2 linked regions of the Arabidopsis thaliana genome follow. Each later gene encodes a partner of the first gene's protein in a complex. Each region holds a gene or a part of one and is shown on either strand. Other genes may lie near its edges.

Evidence for each region.
Region 2: CPSF100 (region 1) and CPSF73-II share a complex: the UniProt entries of both Arabidopsis thaliana proteins name them as parts of the CPSF complex.

The regions. Positions count from the first base shown.
Region 1 is NC_003076.8:8,050,525-8,058,522, forward strand, and holds CPSF100 (cleavage and polyadenylation specificity factor 100), read left to right. Parts: upstream 1-1,914; 5' UTR 1,915-2,025; coding exon 2,026-2,174; intron 2,175-2,252; coding exon 2,253-2,421; intron 2,422-2,499; coding exon 2,500-2,596; intron 2,597-2,798; coding exon 2,799-2,925; intron 2,926-3,026; coding exon 3,027-3,145; intron 3,146-3,248; coding exon 3,249-3,343; intron 3,344-3,426; coding exon 3,427-3,578; intron 3,579-3,663; coding exon 3,664-3,721; intron 3,722-3,867; coding exon 3,868-3,975; intron 3,976-4,855; coding exon 4,856-5,099; intron 5,100-5,466; coding exon 5,467-5,651; intron 5,652-6,027; coding exon 6,028-6,120; intron 6,121-6,669; coding exon 6,670-6,768; intron 6,769-6,855; coding exon 6,856-6,987; intron 6,988-7,076; coding exon 7,077-7,121; intron 7,122-7,203; coding exon 7,204-7,449; intron 7,450-7,521; coding exon 7,522-7,623; 3' UTR 7,624-7,941; downstream 7,942-7,998. UniProt on the Arabidopsis thaliana protein: CPSF plays a key role in pre-mRNA 3'-end formation, recognizing the AAUAAA signal sequence and interacting with poly(A)polymerase and other factors to bring about cleavage and poly(A) addition. Required for antisense-RNA-mediated gene silencing.
Region 2 is NC_003071.7:318,687-324,751, forward strand, and holds CPSF73-II (cleavage and polyadenylation specificity factor 73 kDa subunit-II), read left to right. Parts: upstream 1-1,746; 5' UTR 1,747-1,910; coding exon 1,911-1,935; intron 1,936-2,033; coding exon 2,034-2,211; exon of another isoform or gene 2,212-2,297; coding exon 2,298-2,370; intron 2,371-2,470; coding exon 2,471-2,588; intron 2,589-2,684; coding exon 2,685-2,758; intron 2,759-2,854; coding exon 2,855-2,991; intron 2,992-3,086; coding exon 3,087-3,150; intron 3,151-3,318; coding exon 3,319-3,384; intron 3,385-3,474; coding exon 3,475-3,544; intron 3,545-3,686; coding exon 3,687-3,791; intron 3,792-3,994; coding exon 3,995-4,136; intron 4,137-4,247; coding exon 4,248-4,344; intron 4,345-4,466; coding exon 4,467-5,159; 3' UTR 5,160-5,277; downstream 5,278-6,065. Other genes in the region: AT2G01720 (Ribophorin I), read right to left, coding at 1-556, 845-889, 1,226-1,330; RIE1 (RING-finger protein for embryogenesi), read left to right, coding at 5,813-6,065. UniProt on the Arabidopsis thaliana protein: Component of the cleavage and polyadenylation specificity factor (CPSF) complex that play a key role in pre-mRNA 3'-end formation, recognizing the AAUAAA signal sequence and interacting with poly(A) polymerase and other factors to bring about cleavage and poly(A) addition.

The sequences.
Region 1 (7,998 bases):
ATTTTCTTCCTTAAGAACTTTAGCTTTAAAAATAGATGAAATTTTTCTGTTGAGCTAAAAGATTCATTTCCCTCTATACATTCAGATTTCTATTTTCGTTTAGTAAATATTTCCTTGTAATTCTACTGTGGTCCACCATTGTAAATTCATTGTTTATGTTTTTGTAAGAATTTTCAATCTGTAAATGTATTGAAATCCAATTTCTGTATTGGTATTAAAAACAAATTTCAGTGACAGCCACAGGCTCACAAAAACAGTTCTACACTACTACTTATCAGTTTCACACGAGAGCTAAGTTTAGTTATGTGCAGTAGACAGCATAGGGCGTAGATAAGGCCAAAAAACAAAAAACAAATGATTAAAAAAAAGTTTTTTTTTTTGCAAGAATAACCATATTTTGATACTTTCTTTTTATTTATTTATAAAAAATGTATTGTATTTTTAGATATTTTTCTAAGTATGGAGATGGGTCTTGATGGGTGGGTCACCAGCTGATGAATTAGAATCGAAAATCACATTCTTAGGTGTCTTTTGGTTTAGGTTCACCGAATCTTCTTAATCTATCTTTAAAGAACCAAAAAAAAACACACACAAACAATTGTCTTCAATCTCTCTGGTCATTTTTCTTATGAAAACAAGTATAATAATTACATTTATTTACACTCTTTAACTAATCAACCTATTATTACCTAACTACAACTTTCATATTCATATCAAGAAAGAAAGGTTTGATAGTTAGTTATGGTTGTTATCCTTAGCCATTATGATTTTGGTTTGGTCCTCACGGGTCCTCCTTCACCAAATGCATATGTTTTTTTTTTTTTTTTTTTTTTTTTTGTGTTGCCTTTGAAGTGAAGCTATCACAATTTTGAATCAAAATGTTGTTTGGCTTTCTAACGTGCATCAATAAAATCAGGAAGAACTTATCATTCGTCACAATCAACATACCAGCTACTTGTTTCTTATTGTCCATCATATTCCTAACAAATGATATATATAGTTCATCTCGAACTATTGAATTATTAAGTATTACGCAACACACCTATGTCAAATGATCTGAACTTCGATACTATATCAGAATTCAAATACGTTTAATTCAAAATTAACTGAAAGTGAATTCATTCATTAATATCTCTTATTTCATAGAAGAGATTTCCAACATTTTTTTACCATTGTAGTGATCTTTTAGTTGCAACATTTACTAATTAGTGATAAGAGAGCACACATGTGGGAGAATTAGGCACGTGTGAAGAGCTAAAGAGAAGCATGAGAAGAATAAAAGAGTATAAATAGGGATATTAGAGAGGAATTATAGAGATTATCCTGCGTGATCATTGATGTTGTGAGGAGAATTAGGGCTTGTGTGCTATGTTCTTGATGATAAGAGATGAGCATTGTAACTCCGATCTTATCAATATAGGGTTTTGATTCATTGTAATTGGGATTTACGGATAATAAATACAAAGGTTTATGCGTAAGTTCTTATCAACTTGTAATGGTCTTCTGGTTGCACCATATGCTCATAGATCTAGTGTATTTGGTACAACTGCTTAAAAGTTTTTGATTTACTCTAGTATATTTAACGGAGATTTGCCTATTTTTCCTTAAGGGTGTGTTTAATGTTTTCATGTTGAAACAATGAATGAAGTTTCATGTAATTTTAAATGAATGAGCAATCATAATGAAACCGATCTACTTTGAAGTTTGAACATACAATAGAATTGACTCATATGCTTATAATGGACTCACCATCTATGTTTCACTGCTACCACAACATTTTTTGGTAAAAGATTCACTAATCCCTCTTTGTGTTGGTTAAAAAATCAAGGTAAAGAGAGAAAAAATTTCAAAGATTATATGTACCAAATGAACAATTTGAAAAGAAAAGGGTTATTTTAGAAGTAAAAGGAAATATATGGACCGGGGAGGTTATTATTACAGAATTAAAAAACCCTCTTTCACGGTGGCTTCTTCTTCTTTAGTTCATCGGAGAAATTTTAGGGTTTATATCGGCGAACGGAAAAGATGGGTACTTCGGTGCAAGTGACTCCTCTCTGCGGAGTTTACAACGAGAATCCTCTCTCCTACTTAGTCTCCATTGATGGTTTCAACTTCCTCATCGACTGTGGTTGGAACGATCTCTTCGACACATCGCTCCTCGAACCTCTCTCCAGGTTTCTCTATCCTTATTATCTACATTTCCAGAATTCACCAATCTAATTTGTTTTGAATTCGATTCTTCTGGTTTACAGGGTTGCTTCTACTATAGATGCAGTTTTGCTTTCTCATCCAGATACACTTCACATTGGTGCTCTTCCTTATGCTATGAAGCAGCTTGGACTCTCCGCTCCTGTTTATGCTACTGAGCCTGTTCATAGATTAGGTCTCCTTACAATGTATGATCAGTTTTTGTCCAGGAAGGTGAGATTTTGTTAACTACTGGAGTGGTTATTTTTGCGCAATTGTCTGCATTGTAACACGATGATCTTACTGTTGCAGCAAGTATCCGACTTTGATCTGTTTACACTGGATGACATAGATTCTGCTTTCCAGAATGTGATCAGATTGACTTACTCTCAAAATTACCATCTTTCTGGTATGTGGTTTTAGTGATTTCTAGGCTCTATAGCAAACTAGAAACAATTGACACTTATCTCAAGCAAGTTTGATCTGCATTATCTATGATCTCATATCGGGAAGGAGTTCTTTGACACACATTGAGTATTTGGTTGTTGAAACCTAAGTTATGACTTCAAAGATTGTTAGGATGTCTCAAGGTTTTATCGTTGCCCTATCAGGAAAGGGAGAGGGTATTGTAATTGCTCCTCATGTTGCTGGACACATGCTGGGAGGTAGCATCTGGAGGATAACAAAGGATGGGGAGGATGTTATATATGCTGTTGACTACAATCATCGGAAAGAAAGGTACATATGTTCAGATTTTATCTTATTTGAAGTTCGAGTAATGTTCATAACAGTAAGTAAAGATGTGGACTCGTGATACTGAATTGTATATCTTAATTCAGGCATTTGAATGGAACTGTTTTACAGTCTTTTGTTCGGCCTGCTGTTCTGATAACCGATGCATATCATGCTCTTTATACCAATCAAACCGCAAGACAGCAAAGGGACAAAGAATTTCTAGGTTAGCTTGTAGCCCAATATGTGTTGTGTATCTTCTATAGTATTTAAAACAGCCCGCTTCTAACTGCCAGAAACATGTGTGCATGTCCCCATTTATCATTCAGATACCATTTCAAAACATCTTGAAGTTGGAGGAAATGTTCTATTGCCAGTAGACACTGCGGGTCGTGTCCTGGAACTTCTCTTGATACTTGAACAGGTAATAGAACCGCTTTGAATGTATCATGCTCTTAGTTAATGTTCAGCTGTTTTTTAAAGACTGGATATTGATCAAACCTGCAGCATTGGTCACAAAGAGGTTTCAGCTTTCCCATTTATTTTCTCACGTACGTGTCATCTAGCACAATTGACTATGTTAAGAGTTTCCTCGAGTGGATGAGTGACTCCATTTCAAAGTCCTTTGAGACTTCACGTGATAATGCCTTTCTATTGAGGTAGATTTTCTTATAAGAATGCCTTATTTGTGCCGTCGTTTGTTTAGAATACAGAAGACATCACATGAAATTTAAACACATGCAGGCATGTCACTCTGTTGATAAACAAGACTGATCTGGATAATGCTCCACCTGGTCCAAAGGTTGTTTATAAAATTATAAGTAACTCATTAGTGTTTGTTAGTACATAGAACGTGGTGGATTTATTATTATTTCCTGTCTTTTCAGCTGATAATAGAACTAGATTTTTTCCTATTATATGTTGTAGTGACTAAATCTCATAATATAGGTTGTTCTTGCTTCCATGGCTAGTCTCGAAGCCGGTTTTGCTCGAGAGATATTCGTGGAGTGGGCAAATGATCCCAGAAATTTAGTCCTCTTTACTGAAACAGGCCAGGTATGTTTTTAGAACCCACATACGTTGAGGAACGAAAATTTATTAGCATTGCTATAAAGACCTGATGGTAGATTCTTTTCCTAGTGCTGATCAGCTAGTTAAGTGGATATATGAGAATCTTTTTTGTCTTCTGATCTGAATAAGAGTTCCCCCATTTATGTGTGGATATTTACCCCCAATATGTACACAATAGGCAGAGATTGAGTACCTTAAAGCAGCATTATAATTACCACCAAAGCCTGGCTTGCTCCTTTAGGATAATCTCCAGAGCTTTCAGTCTTGAATTTATCAATTAGTTACATCCAGTACAAAATAAAGGGTCTTAGTAGACTATCATATTAATGGAATTGACACCACTATGCACAAACTGTCTAATTGGCCATATCATTCATCTCAAATGAACATAATTTTTTTTTGTAACCGCGTACTTTGTTTATTTTTCTTCTAGCGAGACATCATCCTGTTCCCTGAAATATCATACTTTTAATTAAAATTCAATCTAGACAAAAATAAATTTATTCAAATAAATAGTTTGGAAACAAATGGAAGCTTTGGTTAATTATTCACGCTTTTCTCAGTTCTGTGTGACTATGCTTTCTTGTCCATGTCAATCTATCCAGAAAACAGAGCATTACGGAATTATTAAGTTTGAAATACCAGTAACACCGTAAATCCAAGTGAAATTATCGAAGTTCTTCATCCAATTTGTTACCTTTGCCATTGGTCGTGTTCCTTAGTTGCGATGGCGATTATACTTTCCATGTGTCCATTCATAGTTCACGTGATCTAAGATTTGCAAGATGTTTCGGTTTGTAGTCAATCACATAAAACTAAACTGCTGTTAGTTTGATTTTTAATTGTCATTTGCTTCTATTTGCAGTTTGGCACTTTAGCTCGTATGCTTCAGTCAGCCCCACCTCCAAAATTTGTTAAAGTCACCATGTCTAAGAGGGTTCCTTTGGCTGGGGAAGAGTTAATTGCATATGAGGAAGAGCAAAACAGACTGAAAAGGGAAGAAGCTTTGCGAGCTAGCCTCGTTAAAGAGGAGGAAACAAAAGCTTCCCATGGATCCGATGATAATTCAAGTGAACCTATGATCATAGATACCAAGACTACTCACGATGGTAAATTTTTTCTTATTTTATATAACATTTTATTACCCTTGAATATTCTGTGGCCTGTAACTTCTTATTTTTCATGTAAACTTTAACTTAATTGAAGTATCTAGTACTGAAAATGGCTATGCACATAGTACCCTCTGTAATGTACTGGTTAGTTGGTTTTAGGAGGCATTTATGTGGTTATCTTGAGTGACCTAGAAGCTACATTTAGAAGTCTCACAATACATTTCTGGGTAATTTGTTTAGTTTTTCACAGTCCCACAATATGTGTCTGTTTCAATTAGACCTCTGGCTACCGTTGTTGATTGCTCTTCTTTCCACTACATAGTGGTCTGCAACTGACCTTTTACATTTCTGACTACTCTTGCAGTTATTGGTTCTCACGGGCCTGCATATAAAGATATATTGATTGATGGATTTGTTCCCCCATCCAGCAGCGTAGCTCCAATGTTCCCATATTATGATAACACATCTGAATGGGACGACTTTGGGGAGATTATTAATCCAGATGACTATGTGATCAAGGATGAAGACATGGACCGAGGAGCAATGCATGTACGTTCCTTGAATTCTGGTCTTGGTCTTGGTCTTTCTTAGCTCTTGTTATATTTGCAAATTAGACCTCTTAATTTCCATGATGTTTGCATAGTGGTGGTTCCTTTTACGATTTTTGTATCAAGAAGAACAAAGATGTAAGAAATCTGCATGATATGCTCTGAGGATTTGGGATACAGATAGGAAATCTTTTGCCATAAAGTTGCTTAGGCTCTTGATTTGGTATGAGTGCAGTTCTTCAAATGAGTGCACTGGTTCTACAGTTCCATCTTTATATTTTCCTTAACAACTGATTGCTTACTAGTAAAGGTTTAGGGTCATTCTATGTAGAGTCTTGTGTTGCTTATTAAATTTGTGATATAATTTTCCATTTCAGAACGGAGGTGATGTGGACGGAAGGCTTGATGAGGCAACTGCTAGTCTCATGCTTGATACAAGACCTTCGAAAGTCATGTCCAATGAGCTCATTGTAAGTAGACTCTAATTATATCCAAAGAACAATACATTGATAGAGATTTTGTCTCAGTTAATGTCCTCATTTGTTCTCCCTTTCTAGAATCTCTGATTATTGTTATAGACTGCTTATCAATGATAGGCACAAGGAGTAGTCTTCTCACTTAGAAATAGAGAGATAGGAATTCTCATTGACATGGCGTTGTGCCTGTCAAATTTATCTTCATCTGATGATATGCATACAAGAAATTTATTAATTGATCTTCTAATTAGTTATCACGGGAGACCTTGCTAATCAGATCTTTAGCACGATAATTCAACTTACAGATATTTTGTTGTTTGGATTAATCGGTCTAATTTTCTTCTTGTTATTGAACAACTTTTGTGTTCTTACTTTTACCCACTTGATCTTATGTCATGTAGAAGTTTCAGAAGGTTATTCTCAGAACGTAGGCCTTGCCTGCTAAACAAAACAATATGGCTCTTTAGTCTTCTTCTGTCTATACCTAACTGCTGTCTAATTTCCCTGATAAATGATTTAGTTTGTTCTTATGCTTTTGCACAGGTGACTGTTAGTTGTTCACTTGTTAAAATGGACTATGAAGGTCGGTCAGATGGCCGCTCAATCAAGTCAATGATTGCGCATGTTTCTCCTTTAAAACTTGTACGTTTCTCTCTCGTCTTATATATATATAGTGTTAAGCACTGAACTGGAAACTTGCGGTGATCTAATACTATATATCATGTGAAGGTTTTGGTGCACGCGATAGCTGAGGCTACAGAGCATTTGAAGCAACACTGCTTGAACAACATCTGTCCACACGTGTATGCTCCTCAAATAGAGGAAACGGTCGATGTGACTTCTGATTTATGTGCTTACAAGGTAGAAATTACTTAGAATTAGGAAGATCCTTTTTAACTCATGGGTTTTGAGTTGTGTGATTGAATTAACCCTGTATGGTGATACATCAGGTCCAACTTTCTGAAAAGCTGATGAGCAATGTGATCTTCAAGAAGGTACCTTTTATTTCCGTGACTATTTTTTTCTTCTTTTCCGATTTGCAACCAATGTCTCTGAAGAATGATGAAATAATATCAGCTGGGAGATTCAGAAGTAGCTTGGGTGGATTCCGAAGTAGGGAAGACAGAGAGGGACATGAGGTCTCTACTACCGATGCCAGGTGCTGCTTCGCCACACAAACCTGTTCTAGTAGGTGATCTGAAAATCGCAGACTTCAAGCAGTTTCTGTCGAGCAAGGGTGTTCAGGTAGAATTTGCAGGTGGAGGAGCTTTACGTTGTGGTGAATATGTCACTCTACGAAAGGTTGGACCGACGGGTCAAAAGGTAATTCAAAGCAAATACTGCATTTCTTACAACAAATCAGAGAATGACTTATATATGTTGGGGATTGTTCAGGGAGGAGCATCGGGTCCACAGCAAATTCTGATAGAAGGACCGTTGTGTGAAGACTATTACAAAATCAGGGATTATCTCTATTCTCAGTTCTACCTCCTCTGAGCATGATATAGAAAAAAAATGAAGCTTCTTCTCATTTTCTCAACATTTTTCAACCACTCAACATGTAATCTCGTATAGTTTATTGCCTTGCTTATAACCCTCAAATCTTATAGATTAATGTGTTAAAAATGGCAATAGCTTTTTGTAACTTTTTTGTACTTGTCATCTTAGTAGAAGCTTAAGTTGTCATTGGATATATTCCACTCCTATTTCGGTAAAGCGGTAAACTAAAACAGTAAAACGTGATAAACTCTCTTCTTTGTTCCTTGTATGTTCTCTCAAAAGTTTAAAATGAAAGCGAAAACACTTTCCATTCAAGAGCTTTCAACACCTGGTCTTGGCTTCGTGCTGACGTGGCATCTAGCTTTTTTTTTT
Region 2 (6,065 bases), on another chromosome or scaffold:
GTGAAATCTCAATTTCACGCACAAGCTCCTCAACAACAGCAAATGGACTGTTATTCTCGAAGTGAATGATGACAGGTGTGTAAGAGTATGAAGCACGATTTTCATATGGTCCATATTTGATCTCTTTGCCAGCCCGGTTAGCAGGTTCAATGCTAGTGAACGACTCTACTCTAGTACTAGGAGTCTTAATAAAAGTTGTCTGTTGCTTAACATGATACGGTGACAATATCACTGCACTATCATGATAGTAAACCAATTGAGATTCTGACTGGGTTATCTCCACTGGGAAAGGTTCCAAGGAATGAGTCAATATGTAAAGCACCTCAAGTGAAACAGTTTCACCCGGACCTAAGGGGCTAATAAACGTAACACGGTAGTATCCAGTGTCATTTGGTGCATCAGGTTGTTCAGTTGGTTTTACATCTAATGGCAAATAAGTTTTCTTCTTCTTCTTGCCAGTAGTTGCCAGGGCTTGTACCATAGCCAAATTCTTGATCTGGGTAGGTGGGAAAGCAAGAAGCATTTCTGCAGCAGGATCTTTCCCAATATTTTCAACCTGAAGAAAGAAATCCAGACAAGAAAATGTCACCTCCTAATAGAAAAACTTAAAGATGATGAAGGAGAAAAGCGATAATATCAAATTAACTGTCACAACGAATCAAAGCCACTAAAGTTCCAACCTTTACAACAAGTATCACTACAATAAACTAAATTTGACTAAAAGAAAAACAGCTGCAGTTTCATATAACATATCCAAAAAAGCTTTAATTTTCCAATTCTAAGTTCCAACCTTCCAGTGTATATTCAATAGGAATAACTATTATAAACATTTGCTTATAAATACCTTGAGAGTCAAGAAGGCCTTCACGATATGTGAGCTTAAATCAATCTGTAGACAAAAACAAACACAAAGGAGAAGCATTTCAGTTTCGGGCAAGAAAATTTTGCAAACAGGTTCTATCATTAGACTTTCTAATTACTCAAATCAAACGTATAACTGATGAAAAGTCACACTATCTATCAATGTACATACATATGAAGCCTATCGATGATGATCAACCATGAAGTGACCAATCACACAGTAATTCTACAAACCGAGTATAGATCGGAGAAACAGCAAAGCCCAACGGCAACTTCATTAACTTGAATTTCCATAAATCGGAGAAACGGGATCCATTAAGGAAGTTTATGAATTGTAAGAAGAAGATAGATCGGAGAATCTTACCCTTCGCTCGGCATTTACGATCTGGAGATCCTGAGCTGAGGAAAATGCAGAAATAGATAACAATACAGCTACGAAGACGGAGAAGATCCCGATACGAGCAGCCATTTTCGTCACTGCAGTAAGAACAAAACTCAAATCAACGAAAGAGCTCAGAGATGGTGAATTGATAGGATTTGGAAGATCAGTAAAAAATTACTCACCGATGAAGACAGAAACAGCAAGAGAGATCGTGGATCGTAAATATAGATACCGACGGCGGAAGGAAGAACGTCGGCCGGCGAAGTGAGAATGATCCGGTCAACTACAAAGTCTCAGTGTCTCTCACTTCTCTCTTGATTTAGGGATTAGTTACGAGCTTTTTTCTTCCTCAGATTAAAAACGACATGAGACGTTGTCGTTTCAAACTTTTAAATTTAATGGGCCGTGAGAAGAACTATTATTGGGCTTCACACCACAAAAATATCGACGGTTGGATCAGACACGTGTAATAACTCCGAACGGTTCCGATGTCACTGAACACTTTGCCGCCATTCAAATTCGTTTGTCGACCTAACTCTGTTTCTTCTCTCGCCCCCTTCAAAATTTTCTCCGGTCACTTGAATTTGTGTTCTGATTCAACGAGTAAGATATTTTTGACCATCGACGAGTTTTGAAACTCAAATTGTTGTTTATTTCTTCAGTAACTATGGCTATCGATTGTCTCGTACTTGGTAACAGTTTTTGTTCTTCTTCTTCTTCTCTCTTTGCTTCTTCAAAGTTTCACAATTTCAATTTCTGTATAATTCTATCTTTTTTGTGTTGTATCCAGGTGCTGGACAAGAGATTGGAAAGAGCTGTGTGGTAGTGACGATTAATGGTAAAAAGATAATGTTCGATTGTGGGATGCATATGGGCTGTGATGATCACAATCGTTACCCAAATTTTTCTCTCATATCTAAATCCGGTGATTTTGACAACGCGATCTCTTGTATCATCATCACACACTTGTATTGATTCTTCAAACCCAGAATTTGTCCCTTTTTTAAAATTCACTTTTTTAGTTTTTGTGGGTTTTAATTGTGAGTGTTAATAGCCATATGGATCATGTTGGAGCGCTTCCTTACTTCACGGAAGTTTGTGGGTACAATGGTCCGATTTATATGTCGGTGAGTTATATTGTCCTCAAGGTGTTCGATGAAATGTTTGACTGACTGTTTTTTTTTTGTGAAGGTAAAGGTTGTTTACTTTGATTTGTCTCTTTTGTAGTATCCCACAAAGGCTTTGTCTCCATTAATGCTTGAGGACTACCGAAGAGTGATGGTGGATAGAAGAGGCGAGGAGGAGCTATTCACCACTACCCATATCGCAAACTGCATGAAAAAAGGTACTTGAATATTGGATTTAGTTCATTTGAGGTCTTTGTGCACGAATTCAGATGCAGTGTCTATAACTTGACTTCCTCTTGTTTTTTTATATGTAGTAATTGCAATAGATTTGAAGCAAACAATTCAGGTTGATGAAGATCTTCAAATCCGGGCTTATTATGCAGGGCATGTAAGACATTCGTTCTGGTTTTAGTGAATTTCTTTCTGTGTTTTTTATATTCAGAGTTTCTGTATTTTTTAAAGCTTATTTTGTATTGATCATAAGGTCCTTGGAGCAGTGATGGTTTATGCAAAGATGGGAGATGCAGCGATTGTGTACACTGGAGATTACAATATGACGACAGATAGACATCTAGGAGCTGCTAAAATTGACAGACTCCAGTTGGATCTTCTCATTTCAGAGTATGGAAAACAAATACAAACTTGTTCGCTGGTATTTTTCAACAAACTTAGAAAGAACAAGTTTACCTGATATAGGTTTAACTATGCCGTTTTAGGTCCACATATGCAACTACCATTCGCGGCTCAAAATATCCCCGGGAGAGAGAGTTTCTTCAAGCTGTATGTCTACTTGTAACTATTAACACATGGTTTCTAAATTTGTTCTTAAATGGTTTTTGATTATAATTACCCGCATCACCTTTGGCTTGTTTCTGATCAATATACCCCTTCAGGAAATGCTTAAGCTTTCGTTTGGTAATTGTCTGATATCTCAGAAAACTCTTCCAGGTTCATAAATGTGTTGCTGGCGGAGGGAAGGCGCTGATTCCTTCATTTGCTCTTGGAAGGGCTCAGGTCTGTCTTCTTACAGAGCTTTGAAGTCAGTTACTTAAACTTGTCTTTGCTTCTCTTATGTCTCATTGACAATTGCGTTTCCTTTTTCAGGAACTCTGCATGCTGCTTGATGATTACTGGGAACGCATGAATATAAAGGTTCCAATTTACTTCTCATCAGGTCTGTTAAATCACCACCAATCCTCATATGAAATCAATTCTGCAGATTAGTCAGCTCAACAAAGTCGTGACTCTATTTCATGAATAGTGATCTCTATCTTCTGAAAATTGCTGTCCCTGAAGATAAATTTGTACTTTTGCAGGTTTGACCATCCAAGCAAATATGTATTACAAAATGCTCATCAGCTGGACAAGCCAGAACGTTAAAGAAAAGCACAATACGCATAACCCATTTGATTTTAAGAATGGTATGTGTACTACCATTTGCAAATAACTTTAGAACGTTGAAGATGAAATTTATATCATATGGAACCGAAACTCTGATGTGCTTGAAAAATAAGAACCAAACTAGTGGTTCTAATACATCCTTTGCGTCCATTTTTTGTTCTTATCCACTACCTTAGCTGTACAACTCTGCTTGCTTTCTAACTACTACCTTCACATTCTGCAGTTAAAGATTTCGATCGATCTCTTATACATGCTCCTGGGCCATGTGTTCTCTTTGCCACACCTGGTATGCTTTGTGCTGGCTTTTCACTTGAAGTGTTCAAGCACTGGGCTCCTTCTCCCTTGAATCTTGTTGCATTACCCGGGTACTATACCTATTGTGTTTCCCCTTTATTAGCAATTCAGTTTTTTCCTAGCATAGCATCTAACACGAAATTGTATCTCTTTTCATCCATTTATGGATCCGTTTTTTACAGATACTCTGTGGCTGGGACCGTTGGGCACAAACTGATGGCTGGTAAACCCACGACGGTTGATCTCTACAATGGCACCAAGGTCGATGTCCGTTGCAAGGTTTGTTTACTCTTTCTTCTGGTTCTCACAAAATTTATGTAACCTTAACACGAAAACAGCAATGCGTCCAATTCACACGTTGAACCTAAACTAAAATGTCTTGTTGATTCTGTTGTTATCAGGTACATCAAGTGGCTTTCAGTCCTCACACAGATGCAAAAGGAATAATGGATCTCACAAAGTTCCTTTCCCCAAAGAACGTTGTACTCGTGCACGGCGAAAAACCCAGCATGATGATTCTTAAGGAAAAGATAACCTCAGAGCTTGACATCCCCTGTTTCGTCCCTGCCAATGGCGAAACAGTTTCATTCGCTTCAACCACTTATATAAAAGCAAACGCTTCTGATATGTTCCTAAAAAGCTGCTCCAACCCGAATTTCAAATTCTCAAACTCTACTCAGCTCCGTGTTACAGACCATAGAACCGCAGACGGGGTTTTGGTAATAGAGAAGAGCAAAAAGGCAAAGATAGTTCACCAAGATGAAATCTCTGAGGTGTTACATGAGAAAAACCATGTGGTCTCTTTAGCTCATTGTTGTCCAGTGAAAGTTAAAGGAGAATCAGAAGATGATGATGTTGATCTAATCAAACAATTGTCTGCAAAGATCTTGAAGACAGTGTCTGGTGCTCAGATCCATGAATCTGAAAACTGTTTGCAGGTTGCATCTTTCAAGGGCTCTTTGTGTCTAAAAGACAAGTGTATGCATCGAAGCAGTAGTAGTAGTAGTGAAGCTGTGTTCTTGTGTTGCAACTGGTCTATCGCAGATTTAGAGCTTGGCTGGGAAATCATCAATGCTATCAAACTAAATCACTGATTCTTGTAACACTGAGAAGTGTTTTCAGTTTTTGTCGTTTTTCTGTCGGCATATGTAAAAGTTTTGATCCTAGTAAATTAAATTAACCCAGTAGTAACTAAACTTACCAACTTTAGCGCCAATTTCTATCTAACAAAGTAACACCCGTATTAAAAACCGGAACCAATTACCCGAAACTGAATCTGAATCCGAAAATTTACTTGTGTCCTAAATTCTTCTACCCTAAAAACCAAATCTGAAGTCGAACCCAAAAATACATGAATATTTTAATCAAAAATTTAAATTTTATTCGAAATCCGAAAAATTTGCATATTTACCCGCAAAATCAAGTATGGTTCTAAAAAAGGCCTAAAATCTATACACGAACCGATATTTTAGATTTACCCTATAGAATCCTAAACTTCTCTACCCGAAAAACCGTATTCGATCGAATTTTACCCGAATCCGACCCGTTTATCCGAATGGCCACTCCTAACCGGATCCTTTAAGGTTAAAGACGTACGACTTATTGTGATAATGATAATTAACTTATAAGACTGTGTCTAATCTTCAATTAATGTTAATTAACTAAAACCATTTTTTAAAACTGTCCGCCATGGCTTAGCGTTTTCTAGAGCAGAGAGAAAGAAGAATCTCAATTCTCTTCGTTACTAATGTCATCGTATTCTTCAGATTCCACGGCGGCGCGTGATCAACATGCGCCTCTACTCCGTCCACGACACGACGGCTCTTTTTCTTCTTCTTCTTCATCAGCCAGACCTACAGCTCTCGCCGTTCTATTAGGACGGATCACCGGCCACCGAGCACCGTCGATGCTGGTTAGAGAAACAGCGGCGCGTGCTCTCGAGGAGAGACGAATCGATTGGGGTTACTCGAAGCCTGTAGTTGCTGCTGATATACTATGGA